Macaca mulatta: one gene and its partners. The protein of the gene in region 4 purifies or fractionates together with the protein of the main gene of each other region. This does not show direct contact. Links are inferred from orthologs where the notes say so. Each region holds a gene or a part of one and is shown on either strand. Other genes may lie near its edges.

Region 1 (4,248 bases), on a different chromosome or scaffold from region 4:
GCTTCTGGTAACTTAAGTGACAAATGCAATGCAAATAAAGATAAGTAGATTAATACAAAAGCACACTCCCTTCAATTATTAATCAAAGAACACCAGCTCAAGTGTAATGTTAGCTAGTCTCCTTAGCTGTTTCTCTCTTTTTATTGTTCTTGAGCTTCTGCTTAAGATGATATGTAATACTTATGCATAAGCATATTTTCATAGTGCAAGTCAACATCACTTTAACTAGTTCAATACTCATACTGATCTATTTTATTACATCTGAATAATCTTTTATTATGTGCAAAAATTGAATCCCATAGTGGAAGCTGCATGCACATAAGTATGCAAAGTCCAGTAAACTGGTTGTGGTTTTTCTGGTTAGATATTGATTTATTCTGAATATATAAAGTGCTGTAGGAAGATTTAAAGACTGAGGTGCACAAAGTCATTTAAGATGATCAACAATTAGGTTTCTCTTCATCTACAAGTGCATACACCAGAGCTATTTTAAAGTTAATAGGGCTAAGGGTACTATTAGAGTTTCTCGTAATGGTATTACTCCAGATTATTTTATAAAGATGGGAAGTAATACTGGGAAATAATGATACACAATTGTTACTGACTATTTAATAAAGCACAAGTTAGTCATATAAATAATACCACAAACTCTTTCTAAAAACCCCAAATAATTCCTCTATAAATCTTTCTATACTATGACCTTGTTTTAACAAGTTTTATTTAAAATAAATAAATAACTTCTTCCTAAAAATGGAATTTGAGGACCAGGAGCAGTGTCACTGCTCATGCCTGTAATTCCAGCACTTTGGGAGACTGAGGCAGATGGATCATGAGGTCAGGAGATTGAGACCAACCTGGCTAACACAATGAAACCCCATCTCTACAAAAATACAAAAAATTTGCCAAACGTGGTGGCGCACACCTCTAGTACCAGCTACTCAGGAGGCTGAGGCAGGAGAATTGCTTGAACCTGGGAGACGGAGGCTGCAGTGAGCCGAGATCACACCACTGCACTCCAGCCTCAGCAACAGAGCGGGGCTCCATCTCAAAAAAAAAAAAAAAAAAAAAAAAGGAATTTGAGTTATCTAGATGAGCGTCAAACCAATGATTTAAAACATCACAAGGCCTGAGTGGAAAGAATGAATGGATTGGTACACATGGGAACAAGAGTTAGTACTTGTTAGTTAGTCCTAGAGTTAGTGTTAGTACTTGTTAGTGTTAGTCCTAGAGTTAAGACAAAGAGCAACTTTAAAGTATAGAATCTTTCCCAAGAAGAGTAAACAAATCTTCATAGCATAAATCAAATTTAATGTTTGACAGTTCACCAGTTTCTATCATCTTTACAACAAACTCAGGTAGCTCTCTAGTAATTTGCCTATTTCATAAGGGGCATTTATTTATCTCTTTATTATTAATTCTCAAATCAACAGAAGAGACATAAATTTTGAAGAAAAATTCATAATTATACTTCTACCAGTTCCCTTCGGATTAATTCAGTGAACAGGTGGACAAATTATCTGTGTCCCTGGAGAACAAGTGAAATATAAATGATAAAAACAGATCTGGGCAAGCACAGAAAACTAACACCCAACTGAAGTTTTAAAACTTATATTGCAAAAGTGTATGGGTATTGAGAAGAGATGAAAGGTTGAAAAGTAATTTGAAATTTGCTCAGGCCATTGCAATATGCCCCGTTATGATAGGGATTGAGTTATGCGCCATCATACATTTCTCTCTCATGCCAAGGACTTTTGAAAGGATATTAAGAGGTGACAAGCATATGAACTTAAAAAATATTTTTAAAAAGACTGCCACCCATTTGTTAGGCTAATAAAAAGTCAGTAAGGCTTCTGCTGAACACTCCGTTCTATGTCTAAATAGGCCATGCCAGGTGTTTCATTCAACATGCCAGCTGCCAGAGTGCCCAAGCTAAGCACAACTGCCCGGCACAGAAAGTGTGCATGTTTTTTACTGGGTCATGAAAGTTAGTCTTTGCTCTCATCCCACAGGGAAAAGTCAGAAAATAGCCTGTCTTAGTCAGGAAAAGAAAGTACAGCCTGTAGGAAACAATTTGAGGGCGTTCCAGATCACACCAACAGTGGATTCTGCGTCTGGGTAGTTCACGTACCTGAACAAAAATTTTAAAAATTTGGTGTGGCCTTTGCCATCCATTCACTCCTCAAAAATGATCATTTGCTTTCCCAGAAAGCAAGCTTTCCAGTCCCACAGCCACGCCCCCTCCCCCCCGAGAAAAAGTTGCACTCACCAAATAGTGACAGGACCCCACACACCGTCCAGATGGTCAGAGACATGCCCACGCTGCCTGTGTTCTGGAGCACGCCCTTAGGAGAGATGAAGATTCCTGCTCCAATGATGGTGCCAATGATAATGGAGATTCCCCTCAGTAAAGTGACTTTCCTCTTCAGCTGCACTTTCTCCTGCCCAGGTGGCTCCTTGTTGCCCAGGGAAGGCAGCCTCCTGTTAACATTTCCCTGCAGGTAACCTCCTTTGGAGATGGTGGACACAACAGGCTTTCTGACCATAGTAGGGGCACACGGGGGAAAAATAAAACAGAGGGAAAGAAAACAAAACTTTCAACTTTGGTGTCTCTTGGTGTTACTGATCGAGGTCTTCCTCTTTGCTTTCTTTGCTTTCAGACTGTCTTTCTCAGCCCTATAGTGTTCACAGGTAAAAACCCAAAGGTGTGCTTTATCCTTCACAGCGGCTAATTACTAATCAGAAACACCTGTGTATGCATCGTGCTCCCAGTTCTCCACCTCCTCGTTCTACCGCTGCTGCTGCTGCTGCTGCCGCCCTATCATTACAAACCAGCTCAGCTTCCTCATGGGCTTGTATTTAAGCGCCTGCCTGTCACACCAACTTACTACAGCTAAATGATGATGCAAATTCTCCAGGTTTGCATCAGCCACATGAGAAGGCTCCAGCATTACTCAGCTCTTTTTTTTTTCAAAAAAAAAAAAAAAAACAGGAGGAGCTTGTTGCTCAACTGACCTAAGCTTTTTAGAGAACAAAGCACACATTTTAAAGAGACTTTGGCCAATCCAGAAGTAGTAAATTCGGAACAGACCTTCCCAGAGATTTAAAGCAACTCGTAGTGAGCAACAAAAGCTGTTCAAACAAAATGAAACAGGAAATAGTTACTTCATTTTAAGGAGTTTCTTTTTCTTTAATGCATGTATAAAAACATTTTACACGTGACTGTTTTGTGAGTAGAATGTATCCTAAAGCTGCATTTTTTATAACAACACAGTTTGAGTTTCATAATTTGTGTAATGCTTATTTTTATTTTTTATTTTGAGTTTCTTATAAGGCAATACAGTCAAATCTAACATTTACAAAATTAAAAAGATTCTACACTTTATACTGTGTCACATACATACAACTGTAAGCCTTCCTCAACATTAAAAGATAAAATTATTTCTTACTACTCATAATAAACCAACATTTTAAATCACATCGGCGTGTGACAAATATAAAATTCACCATGACTCCAGAAAATAGTCATTTTCTGATTCTCATTAGCACAAGGTGATTTTTTTAACTAATGTAAAAGATACATATTGTTCCTTTGAATTACCAAAAAAATTTTCTAAGTTCAAAATTACACAATTACAATTACATAAAAATATGCATATAGCAAAAGACTGTAAAGGAAAACACAGAATAGTAGTTACAGAAAGTAATGATATTATGTATGACTTTTTCCACATTATATAAACTATTGTTATATTATGATTATAAATTTAAAATGCATTAAACATGTAAGCTAAGATTAAAATATTTACTTTGTAATTGTCAAAAAGGCAAAACATTTTTAAACCCTTCTAACTTTCTCAACCAAGTGTCAAGAAAAAATAAATACGAAAAGAAAAGAAATCCTAGATATCATTTTTGGCTATAGTTACATGTGGTTTTGAATGCAGTGAGAAGAATTGAATGTTATCATTACCCTGAAGCTAGCTTTATATGCACCATTAAATATGCTTCTGAACCTTTGAACAAAAACCACAAACAAAAAGCCTGTGTGCGAGAGGTTGGCAGGGAAAGAAGGGAGTCAAGTATGGTCAGGATGATCAAAGAAGGAAATAAGAAATTGCCATTAGGAAAGTAGCATCGAAAAGGTCAGACCATTTTCTGTTGTGTTGGCACCTGAGAAAATGACACCACCTCAATGCTTTGCCATCCAAATAATTGAGGCAACATTTTCTCCTTTTTAAATTATCTATC
Region 2 (3,268 bases), on a different chromosome or scaffold from region 4:
ATGGACAAATGCTTTCATAATGATTTTTAAATAAGTACCTTCCAGTTTGTTTCCTGCTAATGCAACTTAGTCTATATTAGTACAGACAGAGTTACCAATTCTTTTTAAATTCTGTAATGAAAGACACACAGAAACAGCACTGCTGGGTCATGCCATGTGTATACTTAGGTACTGCCAAAATGCCCCCTACGGCAGTGTACCAGTTTATCCCTGACAGAACCCATTTCCCATGTACTTGCTACTACAGCATCTGCAAGTCAGAAAACGCTTTAAAAAAAAATGCAGTAGGGTTCGTCTTTGAAGCCTAAATGGGGTAGATTATTTAACCTTGTCTAGGATACCTCAACATCTACAGCTGTGTAAAGTACAGATCCTAATATGGGTAAATAATACCTACTAAATATGCATTATTTTTAGCTTGTTTTAGAAGCAGATACCTATCGATTTCAGAAGAATCTGCAAACAGCAACCAAAAGGCAAAATAAAAGTAAATGAACACAGCAGTATTAGGCGGTTTTTAATATTGTTTATTAGCACAGTAACAAATGCAGACTTAAGTAGTCCACAACATATAACCAATCCACTGAGCAACTCCTATTCCACGCCTTACAGTTAACAGCTTAAGGTATTTCACTACAGGTTTTCACAAGTCCTGATTTAAACCTTTTTTAAACAAAGTAGATTGGCATATAAAATAAAACACATTACTCATCTCCTATATGGTGTCTTACAGCCACGTGTCCATTTTATATATATGAGATGACAGTCTCTAAAAACTCTGTTAAATATCAATGTTCCCTTCCAAGAAGGGAAAACAAATTCCAATTTTGTTTTAAACAAAAAGTATGTAGTCTTAGAGGGACTTTACATAAATGGCCATATGTGTAACCTGTACAAAATTAAGCTGTTTTAAATTTACAGACTACAAGCAACTGAACCCAAATGTCTAAATGTACATTCTTTTCTGTACTACATTTCAGCTAATATTGCAGAACTAATGACAATTTTAAAAGTTGCTATTACCAATTCTGTCTACTGTAGCAAGATACCTTAAGTTACAACAAAATCTTAGGAAATAAGACTGAATAATATCTGTTATAGAAATACCCTACTCTTTACCAACTCCCACCCTCCCTGACCCCTTCAGAATCATAAGCAGCTCTCTTCTGTGACAAATAATGTAAGAATTGTGAAAACCCAGTTTATGTAGCGTATCTCTTGGTCCACTGTCTGGCCATTCTGTCATGTTCTGCTCTGTTGGTCATATACTGAGTGGCAATACTTCCCACCAAGGGGTCGGCTGGAAGAAAAGAATGTAGATTACTTTGGAGAAAGGAAAAGAACATTTTAAACTTTAGCAAATACATTAGTGACAGCTTGGGCAGACATGTACAACCAAGTATGTGTGATCAAACCCATCTTCGAAACACCACTCCACTATGCCGGATATTTTTCCATCAAAAATTTAAAAATCGTAACATGGGAGGAAGAGGGAATGCTCAGGCTTTAGTTTACTGGTCTGTCTGTATCTTAGTTCATTCCATTTTTCTCCCAATAAACAACACCCGATTGGAGTTTCTTTACTCTTATGTGTTAGGCTGAGTTCAGTGGAGACTGGAACGGTCAAGGCTCCAGACTACAATGAACATCCAACTGTGTTGATGTGACCCTTAGCTCAGTGTCACCAGTTATGGCATTGTGAATACTGTGAAGTCTTCGGGGCTGTTGCAATGCAACACTATTTACCTTTACACTGGTTAAAGAGCCAGGTTGCCAGGCAAAACCTGGACCTCCAATTAAGTATAGTATTTCTCTGAATCTTAGGATCTTTAATAACTAAATTTATATTTGGTTTACCTAGAAAATAAAATAAATAATATATGTGTGTATAGACACACATATATATATTTATATATATATACACACATTTTTTTTTTTTTTTTTTTGAGACAGGGTCTCACTTTGCCACCCAGGCTGGAGTTCTGTGCAGCGGCATGCTCATGGCTCACTGCAGCCTTGACCTTCTGGGTTCAAACAATCCTGCCACCTCAGCCACCCTAGTAGCTGGGACTACAGAAAAATATTTTTTAAATGAAATGAAGTCCCAAAAAAGTCACAATTCAATAGTCACTAAGTATTTAACAAATACCATTTTCAAAACTGAGTGCCATCTCAGTGACCAGCTATGGGCACATGCCCACTGAACCCCACAGGCAAGGTGAGGCTTGCCAGGCAGATGACTTGGCATTTAGAAGTGTATGATTTGTTTTATAAGAACTATATGGGAAATTAAGCAACAGGAAAAAAAAATAGAGGGAAGAATAACTGAAACTGTAAAAGCCCAAGGCAAACTTCGTCTTCAGTTTAAAATACCTTGTTGCTAGAATATACTGATTAATGAAGTTGTATGTCTCAACTAGTAGACTGAACTTCTCGATTAAAACTTTCTTTGAAAAGCAGATTAGTTTTTATATTCATAAAGTTTTGCAGAAAAATTAGTTTTGTCCTTTGAAAGCTTTTGGAAACAAGTACTTTTCAGGTGAGGAAGAATAAAACAAGGTAAAGAATTATTAACCTTACCAGGATTACAGTCTGTAAGAAGTGAGCAGATAGAAAGGAGGACTTTAGAAATGGTTAGTGCTGGACTCCAATTATCTTTCAATATGTCCAAGCAAATAACACCTTGACTGTTAATATTACAATGATAGATTCTTGTCCGAAATGTAACCTAAGGAAAACAAGGAAGTGTCAAACAATAGTTAAAAAGCAAACAAACTTTTTACTAAATACTCAACTGAATGACCCTAATTAGAAAGAAAGAAAAAAAAACTCCCAGATAGGTAGTTTTTAAAAAGGTGAATAAAAGCAGTTTTAATTAAAGCTGTCAAGAAGATAGACTTGTTTAATAAATTTGATTAGAAAGTGTTCACTGACCATCTCAGGGACTGTGTCAATTTCATTTAAAATGTTATGTCCCCTGATGGTAAGTTCAGTACTTCCTAATTTTATCTTTAGCAATTTTAAATCTTTTAAATATTAACATTTCCAAGTCTGAATAGGTAATTGTTTGCTGACCTCTTGTGCTAGCTGGTAGTACTACACTGCCTCAAAGTAAGCTTTAAAATACTTAAAAGCTTTAAAATATTTAAAATCGTAAGTCTCTCTTAAAAACTGAAGTGCAACATAATAGGTACCTAAAGATAATTAAACAACATACTTAGCAAACAATGACTACACCCAAAAAGCTGAACAAAATTTGAAGTCTACT
Region 3 (3,991 bases), on a different chromosome or scaffold from region 4:
ACATGGCTGCTTCCTCTTTGTTCTCAGAGGCATAACCCAAATCCCTTAACAGAAACTTTGCAGCTTTTTTTCTCACTTGCTGCTGCAAATAAGTAAGTCATTTACACTTGATTTGAAAAATACTCATCCACTAGTACTCAGTAAAGAATATAATATCTATTTCAAAACACTTTTTACCAAAGAAATTCTCTTTTCAAGCTTATATGCAAATGAGACAAAAAGGGAGGAGGGAAAGCACTGGAATATTTGACAAGGACTTCGAGTGACTTTTACTGAGGTAAAAATTAACAGGCTACTGCAACAGCACATTAACAGTTCTGACAATATTTTATCTGTCAAAAAAAAAGTTTAAAATTTACAAATATCTTTACTGGTGAAAAACTTTCGAAGACTACATGACATTCTAATTTACCCATTTCTGTTTTCCCTGATCATAGGCACAGCACTTAAATTTAGTAAATATTGACAGAAAGAGAAAATACATAGGCCTGAGTTAAGGGGGAGAAAAGCAGTTCTCTGATTTGATTCAAATTTAAGATGCTTTCAAAACTTTAGACGTGTCTAATATGTTCTGCATCAACACTATACCAAATTGAGAAGGATTTTATATTATGTCAAAGACTGCTGCCATTCAAAAATATTCTCAAGTTATTAATACATCATTACTGAGACAATAAAGGTGAAAATCCATAGAAAAATATGAGTATTTATGAATCACCACAGAATGCAGTATTTGTAGAAATATTTTTTCCTTTAGTTGTGATCAATAAAAATTAACAAAATGTCAACATTGGCTAACGCTGTAGAGATTATACATTTTATGTATAATTACTAGAGTTTGTGGATGTTCCACTACTACTACCACTGACAGAGTCTCATTGACAGAATCTTTTCTTCTCTATCAGAAAATATAAATCAATAGGAAACAAATGATCTTCCACTTACATCCAATTAAATATGTTTCTCCTGCTGTTGAGTATTAACTTGTCAAGCACATCCACAAGTTTCAGAGTGAAGAGGTCCAAGGACAATGAAAGTTTTCTATCACCAGTGACACCTCAAATTGTAAAGGGCTACTTTTCAGTTTGATTTGCCCTCACAAGCACAGGGAGGGATAATCATAATTTAACCACGAAAGTTACCTGTGATACATGATTTAAAGTCATGTTTTGTAAAACTGTAAGCAGATTTGCAGCACGATTTTAAATCTGCTTTCAAACATAGCAAAGGCCTGAATTTGCAATTTTCTAGCAAATATGATCATTTCTGATCATTAAGTTTCATGAAGAGAGGCCCTGCTAATCTCTGGAAGTGTCAATTTCATTAAAGAAGATTATGACTCATAAAAGGAAACATCCCCAAAGTACCATCTAATTTGGGTTCACCAAATTTTCCTTGCCAACTCCTTAAACAATCTGTCAGAATGTTAGTCTAATCTCTACTCAAGGATACTCAACTGAAGTTACCGAAGTACAGAATAAGTTTGCTTAAAAGCATAATTCTAGCAAGGTTGCATACATACCACCTAAAGAATGACAACTCATTCAAGTACAAATAAACTGATAATGAAGTAAATATTTCTGAACTATTGCTACTGATGTAAAACCAACAAAAGCGTCCAACCACCTGGAAGACAACCTGACAAAGTGTGCTGGATCCTTCTTTTACACATTACCTTTTAGCACTAGTGGATAACTTAGCAGTGGTTTTGCTAGAGAGTTTGGTGTTTTTCTTCTGCTGGGCGGCAGAAGGTTTTCTTTCCTCTTGTTCTTCAGGCTCTGGAGCGGCTGGGTCTCGCTGGTCCGCATCTGAACTGCCACTGCTGGTGCTGGGGCTCTCATCATCGGACCTTTGCCTATCACTGGACATCTTGGTGAAGTTATCTCTTGGAAAACTTTTAAAGAGAACAGGGGAGGATGGGGAGAAAATGTTAAATCTAGGAAATAAACCAACAGCATTTTCTTCTATTCATCTAATATCGTATTGTAATGAAAAAGCTTCAAAAGTGTTCACACTTATTTCATCATACAACAAGGGTTACAAGGGAGGTGATGTGTCACACAACGCCAGCGTTCAGGGATTTGCCGAACTCAAGTTAGAAAACCCACTCACATTTTTTTCCATCTCTTGGACAATCTATCAATTGTCTACTTTCTCAGAAGGCATGAAACAGATTTGCCAAGGAACTTAGGCAACAAGCATTAATAACATATGACATACTGTAAATAACAGATCTCGCTGAAAAAATGTTTAAAAGTCACTAATAACGTCTAAATATTTACACACTGACATTGGTCAAAGCTACCAAATTCCCTTTCCGAGAGGAAAACACACCCTGTTAATCGCCCATATGCTTATTTAAGGTGGCGATTCCTTCTCAGTGCACGTAAAGGCTTTAAACACAACACTTGGAAATTTAAAAATCAACTAACGAGCTCCTCTAGCTGTTTCCACCGCCAGCAGCGAAGATTCATCTGGCCAAGACCTAGCTGCCACCCTGGGAAAAGCAGAATTCAAACTGCACCTTCTGCAAAGCTCCCAATGCCACCAAGGTTCCTCGCTCAATTTTTACATCACGGACCGACATTTTGTCCAAAATAACGAAAAAAATAAGAAACCCAGAGGAAAAACAAACAAACAAACAAAGCCCCAAGAAGTGCAACAAATTTCCGCGCCCGCGGAGGCGAGCCGCGGCCGGCGGCGGCGGCCACGCAGCTCCGCGGCCCTTTGTGGGGAGGGCCGCGCGGGGGCCGCGGGCAGCGCTCGCCGCGCCGGGCGCCAAGTGATGCGAGCAGCCCGGCCGGCCCCGCCGCGGCTCGCGGACACCGGCGGCGCGGGCGCCCGGCGCGAACAAAGCTGCCCGCCCCCGCCCCCTCCCCCACCGCAGCCGCCGCCGCCCCGGCCGCCCCCCACGCGGCCCCCCGGCCCCTCCGCCTTACCTCGGCCGCCCGCCCGGCCCGCTCGCGCGCCGCTACGGTGTGGGGGAGGGAGAGAGAAAAAAACCCTTCCTTAAGGAAATGGAGGCAGCTGTGGGGGGGGGAAGGGGGGGGAGGGAAAAAAAGAAGCCGAGGAGGCTCTGGCCGGGGAGTGTGGAACATTGAAAGTCGGAGGGGGTTGTGCAGTGCCGGGCTCCGGCCGGAGGGTGGCGCCGCCCAGCGCCTTCGGAAAAAAGGGGGGGTGGGAGCTCGGCTGGGCGAGGGCGCGAGCTCCCGGCGAGGCGGAGGGGACGCGGGAGACCCCCGCGCGCTGTGGCCTCCCGCCGCCGCCGCCCGGCTCGGCTCCTCCCGGCCGCGCAGTCAGCAAGTTCCGAGGCGAACGCGGGGGGAGGGGCGGGCGCGGCGGCGGCGCGCGTGCTCGCTGCTTGCCTGGCGGAGGGGCGCGCGCCGCCGGCGCCCGGCGGGCGCGAGCTGTTCCCGCGCGCTCCCGCGCGCGCTCCCCGCACCTCCCCTCACCCGGGGGGTGCACGCGTCCGCCCGCGCGCGGCCAGGACAAAGAGCGCGGCGGGGACCTGGCGGGCTGGCCCCTGCCGCCCTTGGCCGCGGAGCCTGTGCCAGAGAAGGCGGGGGCGCGGGCACCGTATCGTGGGGCCGCTGTGCCGCGGGGTGGCTTCCGGCCTGGGCCCGCCTCCGGGCGGAGGCTGCCCATTGGGCTACCCGCGTCCCCAGGGCTAGTTCCATCCCGTTCGCCTGCGTGGGGGACGTCGTGGCTCCCGGGGCCCCAGTACCTGGGAAAGGGCCCTGGGCGCGTGGTTGGGAGTCCCCCGCCGCCCCGGGAGACGGGAGACTAATGGGTGTTGTTGGCGAGGCCAGGCACGCAGGCGGAGAAGAGCTGCCACTTGCCCCTCGTGTAAGCTGGAGGAAGGGACAAGGTGGGGTCCTGGGCATTGAAGAGAGTAGAATATATTTGTTGATTAGGGGACCAACCTCTATTTATTTTTGGCTCACAGCTTGCAACTGTCGCTGCCAAAAGAGACCGTCCTTCGGATGCTTTG
Region 4 (4,260 bases):
TGGGGTTTCACCATGTCGGCCAGGCTGGTCTCCAACTCCTGACCTCAGAGGATCCGGCCACCTCCTCAAGCACTGGGATTACAGGTGTGAGCCACCGTGCCCGGTCCCCCCTTTTTTTTTTTTTTTTTCCTGAGATGAAGTTTTGCTCTTGTTGCCCAGGCTGGAGTGCAATGGTGCGATCTTGGCTCCCTGTAACTTCCACCTACTGGGTTCAAGCATTGAATCGATGTGTTTTTGAAGCCCCAGCCTGCGCACTTCAAGAACCAGCAAGGCCGGGCGCGGTGGCTCACACCTGTAATCCCACCACTTTGGGAGGCCGAGACGGGCGGATCACAAGGTCAGGAGATCGAGACCATCCTGGTTAACACGGTGAAACCCCATCTCTACTAAAAAATACAAAAAATTAGCTGGGCGTGGTGGAGGGTGCCTGTAGTCCCATCTACTCAGGAGGCTGAGGCAGGAGAATGGCATGAACCCTGGAGACAGAGCTTGCAGTGAGCTGAGATCATGCCACTGCATTCCAGCCTGGGCGACAGAGCAAGACCCGTCTCAAAAAAAAAAAAAAGAACCAGTAACGAGAGGTGTCCTCCAACACCCCATTCCCTCAGACCCAGCAGGAAGCAAGTCTGAAGCAGGCACCCTCCTGCCCTATCCCCAGGGTGCTTCCCACCCACTCTGGCCAGGCTCCCACCTTGATCTTCTGTTGATAGATGTTGTCATCTTCAGCATACTCCTTGTATAGGACCGAGAGCTCCAGCCGCTCTGACACCAGAGGGTTCTGCACAGCAATCTGGAGGAGGCAGGGATCCGTCATGTCCCAGCAGGGAGATGGAGTGACCCATGCCTAAGTCAGAATAACTACAAAAGGGCTGGGCTGGTCACCCAGTGACACAGCAACCCCCAGAAAAGCACCAGTACCTAGCATAGCCTAGGGAGGAGGGAGCTTCCAAAGTAGAGACAGACAACAGGCCTCAAGCCCAGCCTATGCATTTCCACAATGGGGCTGCTGGCCACTGCCTCCCTTGCCCACTGCAGCCCCTCACCTCTTGCTGAATTCGGTCCTGCTGAGCCATGATGGCTTCATCATAGGCCAGACAGTTAACACCTGGGAAAAGGAAAAAAGCCAAAGATTACAGGAGGTCCTGGCCGTCTCCACTGCAGGCAGCTGGGCCAGGGACAACAGCAGCCCAGGGGCAGGACGACAGGCTTCGAATCTGGAAACAGGTGTGTTACATTCTGCTCCACCTCCACTGTGTCATCTTGGCAAAGTCCCTTCCCCTTCTGGGCTTTCATTTCCTCATCTTTAAAATGAAGGGGCAGAGGTGCACTGTGGTACCCCTAACGTGCACTCTTCCAGCTCTGACACCCCCTTCCTCCCGTTAACATCACTTCCCAGCAGCCTAGGAATGTTCTGGGGCCAGGCGTGGTCTCTTGCAGAAAGTAGGATGAGGAGGCAGAGTCCTGGGCTGGAGGAGAGCTTCCTGTGAGCCTGCACTTTACTCCATCACCGCCTTCATCCTCTTGCGGTGCTGGATATTGTTAATGGTGCCCATTTTACAATTAACAGAATAAATGCAGAGAGGTGAAGCAATCTGCCCAAGGTCACAACTAGCAAAGACCTGTGGTCAAACCCAGGTTGGTCTAATTCCAGGCTGAGCTCTTCAGCACAATACCTATCCTTGGCTACCACATGGCTGAGACCTTTCCTCAACTGTAAAATGGGGCGAGTACCCCCGCCTTTCTTAGAGGCATACCAGTACGTGCTCTAGGATTATCAGTCAGCTGGGCAGCTCCACCCTGTCGACCCCACTGTGAGCAGCTATCGGTGAGTGGCCAGGACACCTGAATTTGAGTCCTGGCTCTCTCTCAATGTCATCGTGAACAAGTCCCTTCCGGGGCCTAGTTTTCCCACTTCTCATTCCCACAAGTGTTCGGTGAGAGTGAGGTGTGTGTGCTGAATGACTTTTAAGGTCAACCCTTTTGGGGTTCGCCATCCCAAATTCTTGGCTGGGCGTCGACCTCCCCTTTTCGTACTGCTTTGCAAAAGAGCTGTCCCTGCCACCCAATGACCTACGCGGTCCCCAGGGCCCAACTCACAGGCGGGAAAAGACAGTGGGACCATTTTTGAACGGCCCATCTCCTCAGGAGACTAACAATGCCTAGGCAGGTGGAAAGGGGCTGCAAGGCCAGAAGTAGCGGCTCTACCAGAAAAAGTCGCAGGCCTCAGGGACAGATCCCGCAGCCCCTCACATCCCAGGGCCGCCTGCGACATCCCGAACGGCCCGCCCGGACGTTTGTGCTCTGTAGCCCAGCAAAACTTGAGGCCCTCAAGGCGCGGGTCGCCGCTGGAGCAGGTCGGGGGGCTCGGCCCTGGCCTAGGCCTCAGCCTGACTGCGAGGACCGGGGCGGGAGGGCTCGGGGCCCCTGGAGCCGGGAGCCCAGGGGCCGGGCAGAGGGCGGGGCGGCCCAGGCCCCGCCCCGGGCGCGCACGATGGAGAAGGGCCGCCGGCCTTGGCCCGCCTCGCCCGTCCTCCCTCCCGGCCGGGGGTCGCTGCGGTAGCTCCTTCCATTGTGAGGGGGAGGGGAGGCAGCGGAGGTGGAGGAAGGGACCCCCCGCGCACCTCGACCCCAGGGCCGGCGGCCCTGCCTCCCCTCCCTCCTCGGGAGCAGCTGGCCCGGCATCGCCCCCACTAGCCTGGGCCGGACATCCCTCCTTGGAGCTGTACCTTCGGAGTCGCTGCCCAGCGGCTCCTGCTTCTGCTGCTGAGGTTCCTCCGCCGCCATCTTTAAACAGCGCCGCACTGCCGACCGCTTCCGGGTTGCCAATTGCCCTCCTCCCGGAAGTGAGCCCCTCCTCGTGGCCCCGCCTTGGCAACGGCCCTAGCAACGGGATCCCCTTAGGCGTTGTCAAGGAATCGGCTTCCACTCCCGAGGCAGGTGCTAGCACGCCAGGCCCACCGACCTGAGACCTGTAGGAGAGGCCGGCCGCCCCGGGTCCGCATCTCCACCCCACACAGTGGTTTGGCTTCATCTTCCCAGCCTCCCAAAGTTCCCGGTGGTGATTGCAGAGCCTCCTGGAGCCAATTCCGTTTTCTTTTCCCTGGAGTTTGAAACGCGGATCGTGTTATTGAGAGAAGTAGGAAGGTGAAATTAAAATCACCAATGGCAGCATTCCTGCTGCGGGCTTCGGCACGCACTGCATGCGACCACTGCTGCAGTGCGGAGCAGCATCTGGCCCAGGAGACAGGAAGTCGGCCAACGCCAGGGCGCCCGCGGAGCCCCACATCAGTGGCCCCGCGGAGCCTGGGTTCTCTGCCGGCTTTGGTGAGCTGCTTCCGGCAGGGAGACGGCGTCCCTTGGTGTCAAGGCCAAAGCCTCGGACCTAACTTTGGGCTCTGTGTCCTTCTGGTTGTGACAAAGCAGGGCCTTTAAAAAAAAAAAAAGAAAAAGAAAGAAATAAGGAAGAAAAGAAAGGGTCTCACTATGTTGCATAGGGTAGTCTCGAACTCCTGGGCACAAGTGATCTTCGGGCCCTGCCTGAAGAGTAGCTGAGATTCCAGCCACGAGCCACCACTAAAGCAGGGTTTTTATAAAAGCAAAGACTTCACAAAAGAGAAAAATAATGGTTGCCAAGAGTCAAGCAGAGGTGCTGGAGGGAAGTGGATGTGGCTGTGAAAGGGAAAGTCTGGATTGTTGCGAAGGTGGAAATGCGCAATACCCTGACTGTGTCAGTAGTCTGGTGTAGGCTTTACTGCATTTTTGCAAGATGTTAGTGGGGGCAGGGGAGACTGAGTAAAGGATACATGGAATCTTTATAATTTAAGTTCCCTGTGAATTATCTAAAAATTATGTTTAATTTTTGTTTGTTTGTTTGGGTTTTTTTTTTTTTAGAGAGTCTTGCTGTCGCCCAGGCTTTAGTGCAGTGGCGCGATCTCAGCTCACTGCAACCTCCACCTCCCAAGTTCAAGCAGTTCTCCTGCCTCAGCCTCTCGAGTAGCTGGGACCCACGCCCGGCTAATTTTTTGAATTTTTAGTAGAGACGGGGTTTCACCATGTTGGCCAGGCTGGTCTCAATCTCCTGACCTCGCAATCCGCCCACCTTGGTCTCCCAAAGTTTTGGGATTACAGGCATGAGCCACCACGCCCAGCCACGTTTAATTTCTCAAATGGCAAAGATGGCTGGGTCTGGTGGGTTATGCCTGTAATCCCAGCATTTTGGGAGGCCAAGTTGGGAGAATTGCTTGAGCCCAGGAGTTGGAG
Region 5 (3,513 bases), on a different chromosome or scaffold from region 4:
GATTCCAAGTGCTCGGGCAATTGTGGAGACCCTGGGTCCAGTGGCTGGTGGCGGCCAGGCATTGTGGGAGAGAAAGGAGATGAAGTTACCACCAACGTGGTCAATTGGACCAGATCGGGAAAAACACCTATTCCTGACCGATGACAAAAGACACCCCAGACAACCGTCCCTCCCAGGAGAATGGCTGCAGCCTTGTAGGCACTCTGAAATGCCAAAATAGCTTCTGTCTAAAGAGACGTTCTAGTAGCTCAGCTTCTGGTCTGCAGCCTAAGGAAGGGCTTTTTTTTTTTTTTTGACGGAGTTTCACTCTTACTGCCCAGGCTGGAGTGCAGTAGTACGATTTCGGCTCTCCACCACGTCTGCCTCCTGGGTTGAAGGGATTCTCTTGCCTCAGCCTCCCAGGTAGCTGGGATTACAGGCATGCGCCACCACACCCGGCTAATTTTGTATTTTTAGTAGAGACGGGGTTTCTCCATGTTGGTCAGGCCGAACTCCCGACCTCAGGTGATCCACCTGCCTCGGCCTCCCAAAGTGCTGGGATCACAGGCGTGAGCCACCGCACCCGGCAGGAAGGGCTTTTTTTAGAGCAAGCATTCCCAGAATTTCTTGGAAGAATCATCTGAGATGCTTGCTAAAAATACAAATTCCTGGGCCCATCCCAGAAGCACTAAATCAAGAGCCCCAAGAGAGGGGTCTGGGAAGCTGTGTTTTAACAATGTCCCAGGCAATTCCCATTCACAGGGAAGTTAGGAAAACACTGCCCTGGGAAGCCCTCTCTGTTGGGTCAGAACAGCCCTCTCCTTGCTCTGGTCTAGCACAAAAATGTGTCATTTGGTATTTGTCAACTGTACTTAATTCAGTGGGTTTTGTGCAAGTCACTAATTGGCTGGCTTCTAACTCTCCCCCGATCAAATGAAAGCATCACTAGCAGAACTTGTTTCCTTTTGAGATGGCTATGACGACCTCCAACTTAGGCCCTATTTAGAGAAAAGCAGGGCATTCACCTTAAACACCTGGTCCAATGTCAAGTAGCGGTTGGCACTGGGGTGAATGGTCCAGAAGGAGACCTTGCCATTGGCAGACGTCTCCCGGACAAACATGTCATGCAGGGAAAGGTTGTGGCGGATGGAGTTCTGGAAGAAGAGCAAGACAACTGGTTATCAGTTACTTTAGGTTCAGAAACATCACCCTTCAAACACATGGGGAAACCAGCCTCAGGCCCCTCCCACTGTGCTTAGCACAGGCTCCTCTGGTGTCTTTGTAGCCCTGTCTCTCGGCAACTCTCCTCACACTCCACACCGCAGAGCTGTCACCCTCAGCCATAAACCCATCTATTCTACGGGAACAAAGACTGATGTCAACCTTAGATTGTGATAAAGAAAAGACCTGGATAGCTGTCAGGGGCTAGAAAAGCAGAGTAAGGCTGTGAGGCAGTGATCAATAGCAAGACAGGTGGGTCAGAGAAATTAAGAAACTAGGGAATTAGGCCTGGCGTGGTGGCTCACGCCTATAATCCCAGCACTGTGGGAGGCCGAGGCGAGTGGATCACTTGAGGCCAGGAGTTTGAGACCAGCCTAGCAAACATGGCAAAACCCTGTCTCTGTCAAAAATATAAAAATTAGCCAGGCATGGTAGCGCATGCCTGTAGTCCCAACTAGTCGGGGGGCTGAGGCAGGAGAATCACTTGAACCTGGGAGGCAGAGAATGAAGCAAGCCAAGATCGTGTCACTGCACTCCAGCCTGACAGAGTGAGGCCCTGCCTCAAACAAACAAACAAGCAAACAGGAAACTAGGAAATTAAGGCTGGGTGTGGGGGCTCACACCTGTAATCACAGTGCACTGAGAGGCTAAGGCAGGAGGAGTGCTTGAGACTAGGAGTTCAGACCAGCCTGGGCAACATAATAACCAGCCTGGGCAACTGCCTTTACAACAACAACAAAAAAAATTAGTGGACTGTGGTAGTGCACCTGTTATCCCAACTACTTGGGAGGTTGAGGAGGGAAGAGCTTGAGCCCAAGGGGCTAAGGCTGTATTCCAGCCCAGGCAACAGAGTGAGACCCTGTCTCAAAAAACCAACCAAACAAAAAAAAACTAGGAAAGTAAGCTGATGGAAGGGAGTAAAGTTAAGAGTTCTACCATGAGGGGCCAGGTGCAGTGGCTCATGCCTGTAACCCAGCACTTTGGGAGGCCGAGACGGGCGGATCATTTGATGTTAGGAGTTCGAGACCAGCCTGACCAACATGGTGAAACCCGTCTCTACTAAAAATACAAAAAAATTAGCCAGGTGTGGTGGTGCATGCCTGTAGTCCCAGCTACTTGGGAGGCTGAGGCAGGAGAATCGCTTGAACCTTGTAGGTGAAGGTTGCAGTGACCTGAGATCTGCCATTGCACTCCAGCCTGGGCGACAGAGCGAGACTCTGTCTCAAAAAAAAAAAAAAAAGAAAGAGTTCTACCATGAGGAAAACAAAGCACACTTGGCTTGGAACTGAGCACCCGTGAGAAGACCTCATTTGTGGCTCTGACACTGACCAACTGCATGAGCTACACTGACTCCCAGGCATCTTGGTCTTTCCATGAATGAAGTGAAAGGAAAACCCCTGCCCACTAGAAATGGTATGTGATGCTATAGGAGATGACGTCTTGGGTCATAAGGTTCACAGCATTCTTTTTTTTTAATCAAGACATTTTCATAAAACTACTTAGCCACTCTAGCTGCTGGCATCTAGGACTGCTGTTCAGTGTAGCAGAAAAGTGGGCTTGAGTGCTACATGGAAGACTCTTCGTGAACTTTAGGTAGTAACAGATGAAGTAGTTAAAGAGCTCTTGTTAATGATTTTGCCTGGATTCAATAAGATTGAGTCACAACCCAAAAGATACGTTTATCATTCTAGTATCCTTTGCACTTAACTGCTGTCCCAGATACAAGTTGCAGCACAGCACTGGAGACAGTCTGTCAGGCTGGACTGACCTTGATTTTGGTTGCATTGGGACATATTACCTTCCAGCCTGGCTTGGCAATGTGCTTAAAATAGGGAAAGTGGTCCTCTATCCAAGTATAGATGTCTTTCAAGGTCATGCGCTTCCTCTCAGTGCTGTTGATGGCGAATTGTATCATGGCCATGTAAGAGTAGGGTGGCCGCTCAGACACAGAGTTCTGCCAGGACATTGATGGTCTCGAAGGTTCCTCAACCTGAGGATTATGACAAAGGGAATGACACAAAAGAGTTCATGAGAACTACCCCAACCCAAGCCCTTAAAGAATATCTAGAGAAACCTTTATCCCATAGGATGGTACTAGAAACAAACTCATCTGAGACCGCTATCTCATAGAATACAATTTTAGAGTTGGGAAGGATCTTGGAGATGATCTAGCCTAGACCCTAGCCAATAAGAAACTGGTTTTGTCATCATTCATTTTGTTGAATTTGGAGAAAATCCAGTCCCTTCCAGTTGTAATTTCTCAGGAAAGTTTGAGTATGTACTTTGATTCTCAAAGCATTGATGTTACACTAA

Evidence for each region.
Region 1: the proteins of OTUB1 (region 4) and SLC7A11 purify together in Homo sapiens (affinity purification with western blotting; 5 studies listed by BioGRID, with this or other methods). This does not show direct contact. The link is inferred for Macaca mulatta from reciprocal best matches to the Homo sapiens genes OTUB1 and SLC7A11.
Region 2: the proteins of OTUB1 (region 4) and UBE2E1 purify together in Homo sapiens (affinity purification with mass spectrometry; 4 studies listed by BioGRID and IntAct, with this or other methods). This does not show direct contact. The link is inferred for Macaca mulatta from reciprocal best matches to the Homo sapiens genes OTUB1 and UBE2E1.
Region 3: the proteins of OTUB1 (region 4) and UBE2E3 purify together in Homo sapiens (affinity purification with mass spectrometry; 3 studies listed by BioGRID and IntAct, counting the BioPlex papers as one, with this or other methods). This does not show direct contact. The link is inferred for Macaca mulatta from reciprocal best matches to the Homo sapiens genes OTUB1 and UBE2E3.
Region 5: the proteins of OTUB1 (region 4) and FOXM1 purify together in Homo sapiens (affinity purification with western blotting; 4 studies listed by BioGRID, with this or other methods). This does not show direct contact. The link is inferred for Macaca mulatta from reciprocal best matches to the Homo sapiens genes OTUB1 and FOXM1.

The regions. Positions count from the first base shown.
Region 1 is NC_133410.1:147,102,736-147,106,983, forward strand, and holds the start of SLC7A11 (cystine/glutamate transporter), read right to left. Parts: upstream 2,806-4,248; 5' UTR 2,544-2,805; coding exon 2,267-2,543; intron 1-2,266. UniProt on the Homo sapiens protein: Heterodimer with SLC3A2, that functions as an antiporter by mediating the exchange of extracellular anionic L-cystine and intracellular L-glutamate across the cellular plasma membrane.
Region 2 is NC_133407.1:24,593,374-24,596,641, forward strand, and holds the end of UBE2E1 (ubiquitin-conjugating enzyme E2 E1), read right to left. Parts: intron 2,729-3,268; coding exon 2,581-2,728; coding exon of another isoform or gene 2,462-2,580; exon of another isoform or gene 1,934-2,461; intron 1,301-1,933; coding exon 1,203-1,300; 3' UTR 507-1,202; downstream 1-506. UniProt on the Homo sapiens protein: Accepts ubiquitin from the E1 complex and catalyzes its covalent attachment to other proteins. Catalyzes the covalent attachment of ISG15 to other proteins. Mediates the selective degradation of short-lived and abnormal proteins.
Region 3 is NC_133417.1:85,866,751-85,870,741, reverse strand, and holds the start of UBE2E3 (ubiquitin-conjugating enzyme E2 E3), read right to left. Parts: upstream 2,525-3,991; intron 2,095-2,524; coding exon of another isoform or gene 2,052-2,094; intron 1,895-2,051; 5' UTR 1,870-1,894; coding exon 1,676-1,869; intron 1-1,675. Other genes in the region: uncharacterized protein LOC144333280, read left to right, coding at 2,052-2,094, 2,615-3,846. UniProt on the Homo sapiens protein: Accepts ubiquitin from the E1 complex and catalyzes its covalent attachment to other proteins. In vitro catalyzes 'Lys-11'- and 'Lys-48'-, as well as 'Lys-63'-linked polyubiquitination.
Region 4 is NC_133419.1:10,420,514-10,424,773, forward strand, and holds the start of OTUB1 (ubiquitin thioesterase OTUB1), read right to left. Parts: upstream 2,804-4,260; 5' UTR 2,785-2,803; coding exon 2,622-2,784; intron 1,106-2,621; coding exon 1,044-1,105; intron 791-1,043; coding exon 692-790; intron 282-691; exon of another isoform or gene 111-281; intron 1-110. UniProt on the Homo sapiens protein: Hydrolase that can specifically remove 'Lys-48'-linked conjugated ubiquitin from proteins and plays an important regulatory role at the level of protein turnover by preventing degradation.
Region 5 is NC_133416.1:3,761,677-3,765,189, forward strand, and holds part of FOXM1 (forkhead box protein M1), read right to left. Parts: intron 3,191-3,513; coding exon 2,999-3,190; intron 1,134-2,998; coding exon 1,005-1,133; intron 45-1,004; coding exon 1-44. UniProt on the Homo sapiens protein: Transcription factor regulating the expression of cell cycle genes essential for DNA replication and mitosis. Plays a role in the control of cell proliferation. Also plays a role in DNA break repair, participating in the DNA damage checkpoint response.